Saccharomyces cerevisiae S288C: one gene and its partner. The gene in region 1 interacts genetically with each later gene. Each region holds a gene or a part of one and is shown on either strand. Other genes may lie near its edges.

Region 1 (7,511 bases):
GAATAATAAATCTCGCTAGAAAATGCACGGAATATTATATGCAAAAGTAGAAAAGTGGAAGACGGCTGTTGATACAGTGACGAGATATAAGAACATTTTACTCTATATTTAAAAAGAACTTTATTAATCTATTTAATTGAGTTAACACCTTTAATGCCATCGATATGGATTCTCGAGTTGCACTGGTACGAAAATACATAGCACCATCGGTGATAAAAAGCGATTCTATTCAATTGCACGGTTTAGTGAAGGCACCACTATTTAAAGCGTTGAATAGCCGTTACAAATTAGGTTCACTACAGATAGTACAGGATGTCGATTGGAATGCGAAGACAACACCATCCGATTCTCCAGAGCCTCTGGCCGCTACTCTAAACTCTAATCGATCCCTACCAATGACTAAGTTCCCCAAGCAGGAGATCTTGGAACAGGTAAAATTGGATACTAAGGTTGGCAAATGGAGGAAATTCATGACAGGTTGGTTTAGAATTGGATTGTATCTTTTAAAAAGCTATAAAACAGGAATTCAGAACACGTTAAAAGTATTCTGGGATACTCGAAACGAAGAGCAGAAATTCAGCATAAAAAACGGTGCATTGGCTAACTTAGTACGGGAAATAGAAATGCATGAAATCAATACAAGACTATCGTCTTCATCATTGCCTACAAGTTCTTCAGCAAAAGCCCCATTAAGGCCACTTTCAATCAATAGGAAAACACTGGTGGAACTGATCAGACGAGATCAAATCTGGAAATTACCTGTATTTTTCACCTTAGTATTCATATTTGAGGAGGTAAGTGTATTGATCTTTACCTTTTTTCCACGTGTCTGTCCGTACAATTGTTTAACTCCTGGTGGATACAAGAAGCTTTCCAACTCATATATCAAGGGAACAACAAGCACACAAGGTAACTACGGTCTGGGTCCCTTAGAGTTTACTAAGCAAGGTACAATTAAGTATGAGCCACCATATGCAGTTCCTATTGAGAATTTGTATAATTTTCTGACAAGCTTTCCTCAAAGTATGATATCAAACTGGAAACTGTATATTTATAAAAAGTTAAAATTACAGAAGCTACTTTGCAATGAGATAGAAAAAATTTACCAGTATCTGTTTATCGATGACTGGTTGCTGTTGCAGAGTATACTCAACACTGATGTTGAGAAAACTAAAATCGCGCTAAGTGATAGAGAATTGGTTAACTGTATACTTGAAAGAAAACTTTATCACATGGGCGATGACTTGAATGAGATGGTTAATGACACGTTAGGGAAAGAAATCTTACTGAAAAGATTGTTTCTTTATTGGACATTAAGATATAATGACACTATATCCTTAAACGGAAAGCATACATTCAGTGAGAAATGGGGTGTCAACAATATATCATTGTTAAAATATAATTCAGAATTGGTAGCTACGAAAGATATTCAATAGATGTAAATATTCATGACATTATCTATGCTGTACATATTGTTTAAAACAAAAACTCTTTTAAACTTTTCTAATTGCAAATTCAAACAATAATTCAGTGATGTTTCTTGCTTTTGGAGCAAAGGGCAATGTTACTCTATATTGTATGTATAATATGATAGATACTCTTCCGTATATATAGTATATAGATTTTCGTCAAGCGTTTCAATTGGAAAGTGAAAGAAAAAAATAAGAAAAAATAGAAAATACAATTAAATTAATCGAAAAAAGAAGTGAAAATAATTGAGTAGTTCGTATTAAACCTTGTAGGTCTCTAAGTGAGCATTTTCCTCCCTAACCAATGTATGGTGATGGCCAGGCGCTCTAATAACTTTATTTTTTGAATCCATGGTACAGGCAGCAATGGCGGCAAACCATTCATCATTAAAAATATCATCTAAGGTTGCTCTTTTCTTTGGATCTACTTGCAGTATACGGGACATGATAGGTCTTGAAGCATGTGGTAGTAGACGTAATAGACGGTATGGGCCATGAATAATTTTTTTATGGTGAGGTCCTCTGTGCTGTTGACTCGATTTATTATCGGAAGCGATACTATGGGCCTTGTCTTGATTTTGATGCTGGTGATGATGGTGTTGTTGTTGTTGTTGTTGTTGTTGTTGTTGTTGTTGTTGTTGTTGTTGTTGTTGTTGTTGTGGATTGTTTTGGGGAACCATATCAGGGTTAGCGTTGGCAGCAGTGTTGACGTTAGTATCAACTTTAGCGTTACAATCCGATTCATTGCTGCAGTCATTGTTAGCATTACAATCCGTTTTGTCATTGCAGTCACTGTTAGCCTTGCAATCCACTCTGCCGTTAGAGTCACCATTAGCATCGCAATCAGCGTCGGCATCGGCATCTACTTTCTTTGGGTTAGCTGAAACTACCGTGCTTTTATTCTCATTTTTGCTTATTTTAATATCGATGGTACTTTCCTTGTCATTATCTGGCGTGCTTTCTTTATCATTATTGCTATCATCTTCTTTATTTTCTTCGGTTTCTTCTTCCACAATGTCTGGTTTGTTATCGCTTTTACCCTGTATAGATGCTGGAGTATTTGGAACTTGATTTTGAACTGTTTTCAAGTTTGATTCATGAGCTGGTTGTTGCTGATTGATGGCGGAACAGTCACTGTGATTCAAAAACCTTTGACGCTTTTCTTTTCTTTCCTTCAGTAACTCTTCGTGATGCCTGGCAGATTCAACATAGTCGTGTTCTATATCATCCGGCATACAATATAATCTAAAATTATCGTCAGAATCTCTAGGGGCTTTCCATGGAAACCTTTTAAGCACCATACAACAATATATGATCCCAATAGACCATATATCGACGCACTGAGGATCATAAGATTTGGTGGAGGTAATCACTTCCGGCGCTAAGTAAGGGTCACTACCCACGATTCCATGAGCCATCGTTACGCCATCTTCAAAAGGATATCTGAACACAACAGCACTACCAAAATCAATTAATTTCAAAATACCCTGGGAAGTCATGACACAATTATCCAATTTCAAATCTCTATGTGCCAATCCCATAGAATGTAAATATTTAACACCTTCAGTCAATTGCTTCAAGCAACAGTTGATCTCGCCACGAGACATCTTGCCTGTCATAACAACAGCAAAAAAATCAATCGGACAGTACTCCATAACTTCATAGTATTTATTTTGTTTAGAATCAGAGAAAACGTCAACAGTTTCGATAACATTTGGGTGATGTAAAGTCGAACCAATACAAAATTCTGCGGTGCACTTCTTGGCATATTCTTTCACACTCTCATTCGGTTTCCTTGGTCTGAATTCTTTGACGGCAAAAGTAGCACCATCAGTTGGTCTCACAAGAACTTTAACGGACCCACCGGCACCGGAACCCAATAACTTACCCAATTTCCCGTATTTTTGAGCCAGAATACAATCATCGTGATATATATTAATATTATTGGACAAAGATAGGATAGAATCGGTACTTGGCGGTATAGCAGACTGGGTATGAGCATAGTGGTCTGTAAAGCCATGAGGATGCTGGGCACGATAGTGATTATTTAAATTAACTGTAGAAGTTGATTTTGAAGGTGGGGGGGAATGGGTGCTATGTTTCTTGGAACGAAGTTGAGACATAGATAGTTTTTTATTTACAGAAGGTCTGAAAAACCTTTTCAATTCTGCCATGGAGTGGGTTTGTTTTGGAGAGGCGGGAGAAGTATAGTCATGGAGCCCATGAGAAATATTATGGTGGTGGTTTGTTTCATAGTTATTATTGTAGTTGTTTGTTGAGATACTGGTTGCATTAGAATGGCTATGGGTGTTGTTATTAAGGTTTGTTGTAGTATAATTTGTAGTGGTTGTGGTAGATTTCATGGAATCTGTAGATTTCTCGCTTCTTAGTGAGTCATTACTTTGTTTTCTACCAATGAAGTTTAAGAAAGATTTAGAACTTCTGATCAACTGTGGCGGGTTATTAGACGAATTTTCACGGTCATGATGATGGTCATTATGATGACCATGGAATGGGTTTCTCGACAATAGATTAGGCATCTTTATACGAGAAATAGTTCTACCGTATTATTATAATTATTAGTGTTATTATTTTTGTTTTCGATCAATTCTAGCGGAGCTACAATGTGGTAGTCAAACGCTGCTATTGTATTTAATTCCGGCTCGAGACCAGTCTGGAAAGTCGACGTATATCGTTACTACTATCCTTTTTTTATTATTCCTACTATTTCCTTATTGAAAAAGTGGAAAACTGTTAAATCTGGAAATTCTTCACGATTCTAGAAAAATAGGAGGTGAAGAAGATTTCTAAGCTTTTTGAAAAAAACGGGAAAAGGAAGAGGCCCAAAAAAGTGAAAAAAAACTGTGTGTGTGAAATGTAAACGAACTTTGCTCCCTCTAGGAAAAACTTCTTTAAGCGGTTGGGAACTGTCTTGGGCTTACTTGTTTGTAAACAGTTGTATGAATGATTCTATATGCTAATTCTCAGTTTGTCTCTCTTAAAGATTTGTCACTCTGAAATATATAGCCAAATAGAACTAGGCGAAGAAAAAGAAAAGGGGCGGCGACGACGTAGGGGTCAGGTAGAAGAGTTGGGCACTTATTGGCGATATAAAAGACAAAATACACTAATGCAAGAGTATGGTGAGCGAAAGGAAAATAAAGAAAGGCTACGTTATTGACGGATATATGAATCAAGACACAAGACTATTTTGTATAGTAAGCAGAACCGGCTTGTGTTTGTGATTCATGGATCAACGAGACGGTAGCGAATAAGCACCAACGGAAAAAAAGAAAACATACGCATACATGCACGTACAAGATAAAAAAAGCACAGGTGTGGTGGTAGTATTGGGATAACCAGGCACACGCTACTGCGAGATAGCAAAAGACCCTTCCCGTAAACCGCTCGGATAAACCGATTTTGTCCTTTAGCGTGACACGGATTATACGCGGGGATCCGGCGTCACAAGCCACGGCCCGTCCCGTCCGCGTGGTTTTTAATTCTGGCTCCGCGTAGTACATTTTGTAGCTTGCCTTTTTTCCGGCTTCTAGAAAACTGGAAAAACCATAAGAAAAAAATGGGAAGGGGAAAACAAAAACCATTCAGGTCTTGCGTGCCGAGAATTTTTTTTTTCTCTTTTTCGTTGTCAACTTTTGCAGTAGCAGCCGCTGGCGACCCGGACGGTAGCCATGGCAACGGTTAGCTAATGGTAGGTAAATAAAACGAGTAACGACGTTTTAGTATATCTTGGTAAACTACAATTAGATCTTAAAACGGTTCCTGAAAAAGTGCTTTCATCTACCATTGAATTTAATTCACTTCCCTTTATGGAATTTGCACTGGTTTTGTGCTGTGGGATGTGGGTGTTTTGAAATATTTTCAGCTTGCAAGTCGTGCATATTGCACTTGTTTCTTATTTTTGGCGAGTGTAAACGTAATAGGTAATCTTAGTATTGGGCCATCGTCGCCCAGATAGCCATTGATAAAGCAGCTAGGTTCGTCGTCCGGTTGTTGGTATACACCTGTGCGTGCGTAAGTGTAGAAAAAAATAGAAATGACTAACTGGCAGCAACAGCTTCCTTTAACAGATACACAGAAAAATGAACTCGATAAAAGTGTCCTCCGATATTTGAATTGGAATTACAAACAAACTGTACGACATGAGCATGCTCAAGATTACGAAAGTGTTCGACATGCAATTGTAACTCTATCAGGTTTTCTGTTGCAAGAATCAGTGGACCGGCAAGAATTCATCAGTAACAATGACACCAGTAACGAAAGTATGGTAGACATTGATGAATTACTGCTACCGAAGAAGTGGAACTCAATTGTTAGACTACAAAAAAAAATCATTGAATTGGAGCAGAATACAGAGACCCTTGTATCTCAGATTAAAGATTTGAACACTCAAGTGTCAGAACTAGCACAATTCAAACCTACCACCAGTAACGGCACCAGCGCACATAATGTTTTGAAATGGATACCGAGAAATCTACCAAGCTGTTTAATTAATGTTGAATCATCTGTCACTTCCGTCAAACTACATCCCAATTTGCCTATAGTGTTTGTGGCCACAGATCATGGCAAATTATACGCATTTGATTTATTTAACTACACCATCCCTCTGGCATCCTTGCAAAGTCATACCAAGGCAATTACCTCCATGGATGTTTTATTTACCAATTATACGAACTCCAGCAAGAAGAACTATTTGGTGATCGTTACCGCGTCTAAAGATTTGCAGATTCATGTTTTCAAGTGGGTCTCCGAGGAATGCAAGTTCCAACAAATTAGGTCTTTATTGGGCCATGAGCATATTGTCTCTGCGGTAAAAATCTGGCAGAAAAATAATGATGTCCATATAGCGTCCTGTTCCAGAGATCAAACTGTTAAAATTTGGGACTTCCACAATGGTTGGTCGTTGAAAACATTTCAGCCTCATTCCCAATGGGTTCGTTCCATAGACGTTCTAGGCGATTACATCATCTCTGGTTCACATGACACTACATTAAGGTTAACACATTGGCCATCAGGTAATGGTCTTAGTGTTGGCACGGGTCATGAATTTCCCATAGAGAAAGTTAAATTTATTCATTTCATCGAAGACTCTCCGGAGATAAGGTTTAGAACACCATCAACGGATCGATATAAGAATTGGGGGATGCAATATTGTGTCTCAGCGTCAAGAGATAGAACGATAAAAATCTGGGAGATACCTCTACCTACGTTAATGGCCCATAGAGCACCCATACCGAATCCTACAGATTCAAATTTCAGATGTGTTCTTACGTTGAAGGGGCATCTTTCGTGGGTTAGAGATATTAGTATTCGAGGCCAATACTTGTTTTCTTGTGCTGATGATAAATCTGTCAGATGTTGGGATCTGAACACGGGGCAGTGCTTACACGTTTGGGAAAAGTTGCATACAGGATTTGTCAACTGTTTAGACCTGGATGTGGATTTCGATTCTAACGTTACCCCAAGGCAAATGATGGTCACTGGTGGATTGGATTGCAAGTCTAACGTTTTCATGAGATAAGTTTGGCTTTCCTATTTCTTTTTCCCTTTTTTTTGACTCTTTTTAAGCATTGGTTGATACTTTAAATACTTTATTGAATTAGCATTGATAGTATATAATAAGGTTTACTCACTATATAGTAGCATCATTTATTATTTAATGAAGTACTTAAATGTTTCGCTTTTTTTAAAAGTCCTCAAAATTTAGCTTGAAGCGGAAGAGCTTGCACTAGCAACAGCGACTTCCATGTCTTTATACTCAAATGCGAATGGTTCGTATGGTAAACCTTCACCCACGAAAAACTTGGACATAGATTCAACCCAGTGCAAACGTAAGGAATGAAGCATGGCAGATGTACCTTCCATCAAAACAAGAACTGCACATGTTAGTGCGAACCACATGGCAAAAAGTGCAACCGTCATAAACACACCCACAAATCCTCTAAATCCAAAGGCAATTTGAATTGTCATTGTCCATAAAACACTAGACAATTGAGCATGTGCCAATGATAAGGCCCATAA
Region 2 (8,382 bases), on another chromosome or scaffold:
TGAGGTAGTACCGCCTTTTATGACTTCCTTTAGATCTTTGAATGTATCAACGTTTGAGCAACCGAAGTATATCTCATTTATTTGAAAAGATGAAGGATTAGCCATGCATTTGAAGTTCCTTTTAGGCAGCTGTAAAGCCTTTCTAATTAAAGAAGCTTGTGGATATGCGGCGTGATTAGAAATTGCATCTTTTGTGGAGGGTATCAATACGGTTTGGATATGTGGTGATATGGTTTTTAGAATAGGAGTAAATAACTTCAAAAAAAGCTCGTCCAATGTTTTGGGCTGTGTCTTGAACTGGGGAAAATTTGGCAATTTACCACTCGCTATCAGAGGATGGGTGATATCTATAAATGGGCCAAACATTATCAAGACGTGAGGTTTTACCTCATTATTTATACTATCGATAAATTCTTGCAACAATTCGAGGGAGAAGTTATCATTTGCAAAGTATGGGCCACAGGTCACGATAACCTTCAAAGAAGAACCTTCCAAATTTGCTTGAAACTCCTGCAGTTCCTGCGATGTGGACACTGGGGAGTTTGGATAAGGTAGCGGCAAAATAGAGTTAACGGTGAAGTAATCCCCATTAGCATTTTTACCTTTGAATGCCACAATTTGGCCTAAGAAAAACGAAAGCTCGTTGACCTGCGATAGATCTAACCTTACCCTTCTTCCAACGCCGCCCATTCTTGAGGTCTCTAGGGAAAGCGATTCTGGATTCAAAAACTTGTCGTAGGTCGGCGAATCTGGAACTATCCTTCCAACAGCATAAATTTCGGACTGAGATTGAATAGTTGGATCAGCGAAGTCGTTTGGAGATAACTTATAGTGATTTTGAATAATCTTAGTAAACGATTCAATTTGATCATCGAGGACATCAGACGCTTCCTGTAAGTTTTGCCTCATTGTTCTGAATTTATACTTTTTAGCATCATAAAATGGTTCTACTTTGACCTGGTTATATGATGGTTCTTCAGTCGAAAGAAGGCCTACATTTGGATTACCAGATGATATTTCAATATTTTCAGGGTTCAAAGAATCCAAAATTTCACCAGCAGGAACATTTTGCCTCGATGTGGTAGGAGTGTTTGTTGTTGGAGTTTGGAATGTCGACGAGCCGGGAGTCTTGGCATCCGAGCTTTTAGCGTGGGACAATGGAGCACTGTCACCCACAGCATCTTCTGCCATGCCTGGAGTAAACTCCAATTTTAAAGAACTATTTCCTTTTTCATTTGTTTCTGCCTCAGAGCCTACATTATATGTTTGCTTGGAATCACTGAGTGAAAAGGGACCATGTAACTTTCTTTTTTTTAAAGTCGGAGTCTTTGGAATACTAAGGCCAAACAAGGGACTTGAATTCAAACTTTTTTTAATCACTGGTTTTTTTGTGGATGTGTTTACCTTAGAGGACGATGAAATTTGGTTAGCACGCTTTTCCATTTGTAATTGTAAAAATTGTTTAAACTCATCTATGTTCTTGGAAGTCAGATCTGTGTGAGTTTGACGCCTTTGATTGGAGAACTGCTCCCATTTAATGTATAGATCCTCGACGGACAATGCATGCAGTTTAGTTAAATTCTCTAATGCAGTGATGATTTCCGGCTTGTCTGCATCAGGCCCAAAATGAGTGATGACATCGATAGATCCGCTCATTTTTTTTTTTTTCAGTCACTTGCTCCTGCCTAAATTTACCTTCAAGCTTTGTTGAACCAATTGACAATCAATTATCTTGATATTTTTATATGCAAATATATTATGTATATGAAACAAAATGTTATATGTGTCTACAAAGAGCTCATATTATTACAGTTTTAGAAAAGAGAAAGAACTAAGAAACTCTGGTGAGACGCGTCACGGTAAAAAAAAATTACGCGTCTACCACGCTATTCTCTATTCGTTTGAGGCGATGAACATGATCATTTTAAAGACATTCTTAGGCAAACAATCGAATAATCGTTCGGTTTCTTGCTCAGTATAATCTGGAGTAGTTTGGAGGACTCTCAAACAACGAGCTAATACCACGGCACTGGTGAAGTTCCACGAAGTATTATCAGTCCCCATAATGAAATAGCTCATTGTTTGGATAATCTCTGATATATTAGATTTCTTGAATTGTTGGCAAATGGTAGGAGATTGCAGCATCTTCCATAAGGTCTCAATTAAAAATGTTTCTTTCACACCAGCGGTGTCAGGCTGAATTTCAGTAACCAACATGCTTAGAATTCTTGTTGCCGAATGTTTTTTGAAAAAGTGCGATAACATTAGACTGTCCCTGAACTCTTGCGCTAATTTATAGATTTCGTTTCCATAATCAGAAAATTTATTAAGCATTAAAAGGATCTGTTCCCATACTTCTTCGAAACACATTCTCACCGAAACGCCATCATCGTCGGCATTCTCGCTTAGTGTATTTAGAAACTTTTTCCAAACCAAAAGACAATGAACGAGAATTATGGACTTACTGGATATTTTTGATGGAATTGAAGGCGTGTCATCAGTAGATTTCAAAAGCATAATAGCAACATCCAGTAGTTCATCAAAACCATTTTCATTCGTCAACCAATCGGTCATTTTTTGATTTTGAAAACAAGTAATCAAGGGTTCGATCAGGTAATTTATATGTTTCATAGTGAACGATCCACTTTTTATCCTGTTTATTGCCTTTGACATGTGATTGAAATAGACATCAAAATCCATCAAAGTGTTGCCATTAGAATCAACCATTAAAAGATGACTAATTTCATATACAGTCAAGGAATCCCTTGGGAAATTATCCATGATAAGCAAATGCATCTTCTCTGATTTTTTGTTATTAACTAGTTTCATCTTTTTGGAGTTTATGTCTTGTTCAGTTAGTGCTACGTCTCTTTCTCTCTTTACTGTGATCCTTTGCTTTTGACCCATATTCTCGTCCCCGTTTATTTTGATTGGTGACATTGTTTCCAAATCAGGCTTTTCATTCTCATTCCCATTTCCAATAAGTTTTTCTGGCTCATTTATTATCTTTGGAGGATCTGTACTGAATTTTACTGTTGGTTCATTATCGTCCTTCAATTTCCTTTCGGTATTTTCACCACTGTTTTGAAAAATTTCACTTAAATTCAAATCAGATTTTTGAGAATTTTCCATATCTATATCATCTTCCTCCTTTGCTGGGTTTGGCTGGTCCAGTTGATAAACACTTACTATTTTCGTCATTTCTGAAAGCTTTTTATCTTTGTCATTATCATCATGAATAACTACGCTGTCTGTGCTTGATGTTCTTTTTCCAACGTTATTCTTCAACTCTAGTGTTTTATCAGTTTCCAAGTTTTTGAAGGGATTAATCATTGTCATTTCCATGCATTTCTTAACATCATTTTCGTCTACAGCATCGTCGGATTCCTCATCCCCTTCAGATTTTTTATTGTCGATGGGAGTGAAGCTTACAGAACTTTCTCTAGAAATGATGTCTTCTACCTTAAAGTTGGCATCCTTCTTTTCAAGTTCATGACAGATTTTCATCTTGGTAGATACAATGTCAAAATCAGCTAGCAATTTATTAAAACGATTATTATCGAATTTATAAATTTCAAAAATTAGATTGAAATAACATGTGTAGTCAAACTCTTTACCGTAGATTTGAAAGAGTATCATTGATATTTTAGGCATGAGATCGTTCGTTCCTGACCTCAGAGTGTTATCATGTTTTATGTTCAAGTTACGGAAAATCTCTAAAAGTAACTTGAAATTATAATTGAAAAAAGTGGTTTTGTATTTCATATAGTATAGTTTGAAATCATTCGGACAATTATTGGCATTCAAGAAATTGAATAAATCCGCGATAGTTATAATCAAGTTAGTAAGCTCGTAGGGCTTTTCAGGATTCATTCTATTCTTTAAGATTTCCGCGTAATCAAAACTATTAATAGAATATAGCTCAATGAGGTAATTTAAGGGAACTCCATTTGTAAACTTCTCTATACTCAAAAATGGCTTGAAATCATTTGGTGACTTTATCATAATTTGGCGTAGCTTTTTCATAATCATGGGAAATTCAAATTTTGGGGCTGATGATGACTGTTGCGATGTCAACAGTAACTCCTTTTGTAAATACTGTAAAGCATCTTTGATCTGAGCTGGAAACGAAGCATCATTGAATTTTTTGTAAAGGGTTTCATATTCACCAAGTTTATTACTGCCTTTTAATGAGATTGGAGAAGATGACATCGAAACATCATTTTTATCCATATATTTCTTTATCAACGGGTTAGAGTAACTATTTGATAACTCATCAGTCAAGTCGATTTGGTTTGACGGAAAGTCATCAAAATTTGTGTAATTTTCAGATACTTTTGTGGCGGCAGTAGAAGAAGGAGGGGCACTAACTTTTCTTTTAGTAACATTATTATTATCTTTGGTGTTGCTGTTTGAAACAGAGTTCATACTGTCATGATGCCTTGCCCTTTTTTCATTTTCTTTACTTGAATATTCACTAGTAGACCTTAAGTTTGTTTTCAGCTTATTTGATAGTTTACTGGCTATGACACTTCCACCAGCTGTGACTGCAGGAGCGTTGAGTAGGGAGGTGGAGGAAGATTGAGTCGGTTGGGCATAACTTGGATAGTTCCTTTTCTGCTCCAGTAAACTGGTTTTTCTTGAAGAATTATTCGAAGAGTGAGAGTACAATCGAGACGTTGCAGAGGAGGCGGAGGCAGTAGAGGACACCCTGGAAACTTGATAGTTTATATTCAAATGAGCAGGGATTGCCAATTCTGTTGCTTTTTTCAACTGTGGAGAAAAGGAAGAACTCAATAATCTTTTGGCATTTGTAGGATAACATTTGTAGAAATACCAAAAAGTTAACCTCATTGCCTCTCTAACGGTTGTCTGTGAATCTGAAATGCCCTTTTTTAGCCATTCTTCGATGTATATGATGTTATTCTCCAACTTTGAGGTTGGCGAAGTTGTATTTGAATTGTTGAGCGAAAGATTGGAGTCGTTGAACTTAATCAGGAAGCTACGCAGCAGTATTGCAGAGCAAAATCTCGGTGTTACGGTTTTCTCATTTATTAATAAAAAAGATAATTGGAATAGTTTATTATGGAAATGATTTATATCAATGATCAAAGTAATTAAACAATGAAATGCAGTTTGTGAAGAGATTTTCTTGGTAGATGATAACAAGTTCTTGAAAATGACAAATATTTGGTCCAATATTGATAGGGGCAACTGATCGTTTAGGATATGGATTAGCCTCTTGAGGAAAAGTAATGCAGTTAATGATAACGTTGTCCTCAACGACGAGGTAGCTCTTGAAATCAACTCAATCAACTGCACCTCCTTTATTACAGTGACAAATTCCTCTGGATTATCTTTGGGAATGTTGCCGGATATAATGTTGTCTAATTCAATTATATTTGATTGCCTTAGCTTCCAATTTTGTTCTGTTTCCTTTACACTTTGGAACGGTGCCAACAAATTCTCCAAGTCTTGTTGTAATTGGTTCAAAGACTCATAGTTTTTTTTCATCGCTGGGTCTTTACTGCTCAAGTTGTTTGATAACTGCGGCAATTTCGCTTCGGCTAATAGTAATTGAAACTCGTACTCTTCGTCAAACAAGGTCGATTTATCTTCTTGTGAACCATGCTGGTCCTGTGACTTTGCTAAACTTATGAATTTTTGCTTGAATTTCTCAACTTCTAAATCGTTAATAAATCCATCTATCAGATCCTGTGAATTTTCGTCATCCATTTTCAAATACTTGTACATTATATCGAAAATAAGCTCTATTATTACATTATTGTTATCATCGTTTGCGTGTTCATTTAGGTTGTTATTTAAAAGGTTGGTGAAAGACAGCATGAAAAACCTCAGTAGTTGCAAATGATTTGAATTATTTTTCTCGTTGATCTGGATCAACTCATCGATGGTCAATAATGTAGATTTTATCCTATTCAGGTAATCTCCGTTTTGGTTTTCACTTGGTCTTCGCAAGAAATTTGCTAGAATAGCTTGGATCTTCGATGGATTAACCAAATAAATGGCTTCAATGGCTTTAATGGAAGCCAGCCAAAATTTCTTCTCATTAGGCAACTCGAAAATTAAGTGGTTTAGTAATTGCTCAACTAGAGTGTCATTGAATTGTACTGGAGACTGCATGGCCACACGTTTGATAAGGTAACAAAGCGAGGAATGTGATAGGAAGATTAACCGCGGGTACGAACGGTAAGCGTAATGGCCGGAGATGAACAGTAACGCAGCGAAATAAGCTTGGATCGACGATTCGTTAACTAGTTCCTTTTTTACATGTCCTTTGAACCGTGTAAGCAGTGCCATTTTTTCCTCGATGGGTACAGACTCGTCCTTGAATACGGTATACAAAGGGAAGGAATCGTCTGGATGTGTATTAGTGTTGCTGTTATTATTGGTCTCATTGTTGAAGGACGACATTATTTCTGAAGAATACAAGGTCTCTCCAAAAACCCTAATAATTACCGCTAAATATGCCTGTCAATCGGATGAAGGGAAGTTTCAACCTCAAATGTAAATAAATAGATGTTTAGCGTTTTAGAATAAATAAGTAAATAATTTGATTTTCTATAAAGATGTTAATGCGCCAATACGCGCCGACGGGGTAACGCATTAAAATAACATGGTATTTTCGTTTCATTACAAAAAAAGCACTATATGTACTAATAATTATGCTACACTTGTGTTTATATTGCCAGCGTCGATGTTGATGACAACGCAGAGTTCATACGGTTTTGGTTTTGGGCTTCACTTGTCTCAGTAGGTTGAGGGTTTGTATGAAGTTTCAGAGGCTCCGTTAGTAAATGACCCATTCTTTCTATCTTGGTCCTGAGATAACCTTCTATCTCCTTGGAGTCTATGCCTTCACTGGAGTTTGTCCAGTGTATGGGTACCATAGGCACTCGTTCAACGCACTTAAGGTAAGGCGCATGATCTACCTGTTTTATCTTTTCCGGGTTATTTGTCAGCAGCCTGACATTACCGATGCCAAGATCCAGCAAAATAGCCTTACCCAGCGAGAAGTCCCTAGCATCCACGGGATGTTTCAGCATTAAGTTGGCCTGCACTGTGTCAGCACCTAAGTCTTGCAGGTTGTAGGCCTTGAGTTTCTCACCTAACCCGATGCCACGACCCTCTTGTCTTAGATACACGATAACACCATGGCCGTTTCCACCTTTGATGTTGCTTGTGGGTTCGTGGTCGCAAGCGATAAGCCTACCGGCCCTATCGAATTGTTCACCACAATCACAACGGGCGCTCCATGCGTTTTCACCGGTGTAACATTCAGAATGGATCCGTACCAGCGTGTCGTTATGGGCGTCCCATGTAGTGGCTTTGGAAGCTAATAACTCACCTGTACTATCATCAAACTCCAGAGCTAATCCGAGTCTATCGTCTTCGTCTGCCACAGTTCTGCCGGGATACAGTTTGCCAATATAAGCGCCCCTGATCATTCTATCTTGTTGCGTCTCGCACTGTCTTCTACGGAATAGCGAGCGCGACCGTATGTCTTCACCAAACACAATGGCTAGATGTTCCTTGTTGTCCCTGTTGTTACTGTAAAGATGTAAAAAGATATCCGGACCCTGTGTGGTTGGGATACGAGCTCTTGCGACACATTGTACTAGAGGCAAGCCGCCATCGCCGTTCCTGCCATCACCCGTACCACTAACCTCGTATTTGCTGCTATCCTGTTTACTGTTGTCGTAGTTATCTATGGTCATCCTGTAGGTTTGTTGTAGTTTTATGTACGCCACTTTTTGTAATGACTCAATTATTGTCCACGCCAGCACAGCAACTTCTTTATATATACTATAGCGGCGCTGGCGCTCACCCCACAAGAGCGTCCGACTAATTTCTGACAAATCGTAAAAAGAAAAAGAAAAACTCAAAGGAAAAAGAAAAAGTCTCACCCTACACAACTTGTTTTCAAAAACGGTATAGACCCTACTATTTCTGTTTTAGCCCTATGCTAAGTCTAGACATTACCCTATCCCTTTTAACGAAAGCCCTTTTGTTTTTTTTCTGTGTGTCCGGCCGCTCAGCCAAACAACAAACAAGACTATAATCTGGAGCATAAGTACCCGAGCATATATAACTACTTGGCATACGAAGTAAAAGCATATTGCTCCCCACTCCTATCGCGCGTCCCCTGTACAACAAAGCATCAACTTATCGGGTAACTTAGAGACAGCATTAGTATATATACCAGCCATGTCACAGTTCTTCGAAGCTGCTACTCCCGTTGCAATTCCCACAAACAATACCAACGGCGGCTCCAGTGATGCCGGCAGCGCCGCCACTGGCGGCGCCCCCGTTGTTGGCACCACCGCTCAACCCACCATCAATCACAGGCTTTTGCTGTCA

The links. A genetic interaction does not mean that the proteins touch.
Region 2: mutations in PAC1 (region 1) and STU1 together harm fitness more than expected from each alone (negative genetic interaction), as found in Saccharomyces cerevisiae (4 studies listed by BioGRID, with this or other methods).

The regions. Positions count from the first base shown.
Region 1 is NC_001147.6:820,859-828,369, forward strand, and holds PAC1 (Pac1p), read left to right. Parts: upstream 1-5,526; coding exon 5,527-7,011; downstream 7,012-7,511. Other genes in the region: PNT1 (Pnt1p), read left to right, coding at 165-1,436; putative serine/threonine protein kinase HRK1, read right to left, coding at 1,730-4,009; YOR268C (uncharacterized protein), read right to left, coding at 4,676-5,074; VPH1 (H(+)-transporting V0 sector ATPase subunit a), read right to left, coding at 7,194-7,511.
Region 2 is NC_001134.8:151,955-160,336, forward strand, and holds STU1 (Stu1p), read right to left. Parts: upstream 6,436-8,382; coding exon 1,894-6,435; downstream 1-1,893. Other genes in the region: DNA-directed DNA polymerase alpha subunit POL12, read right to left, coding at 1-1,656; RIB1 (GTP cyclohydrolase II), read right to left, coding at 6,702-7,739; HEK2 (Hek2p), read left to right, coding at 8,230-8,382.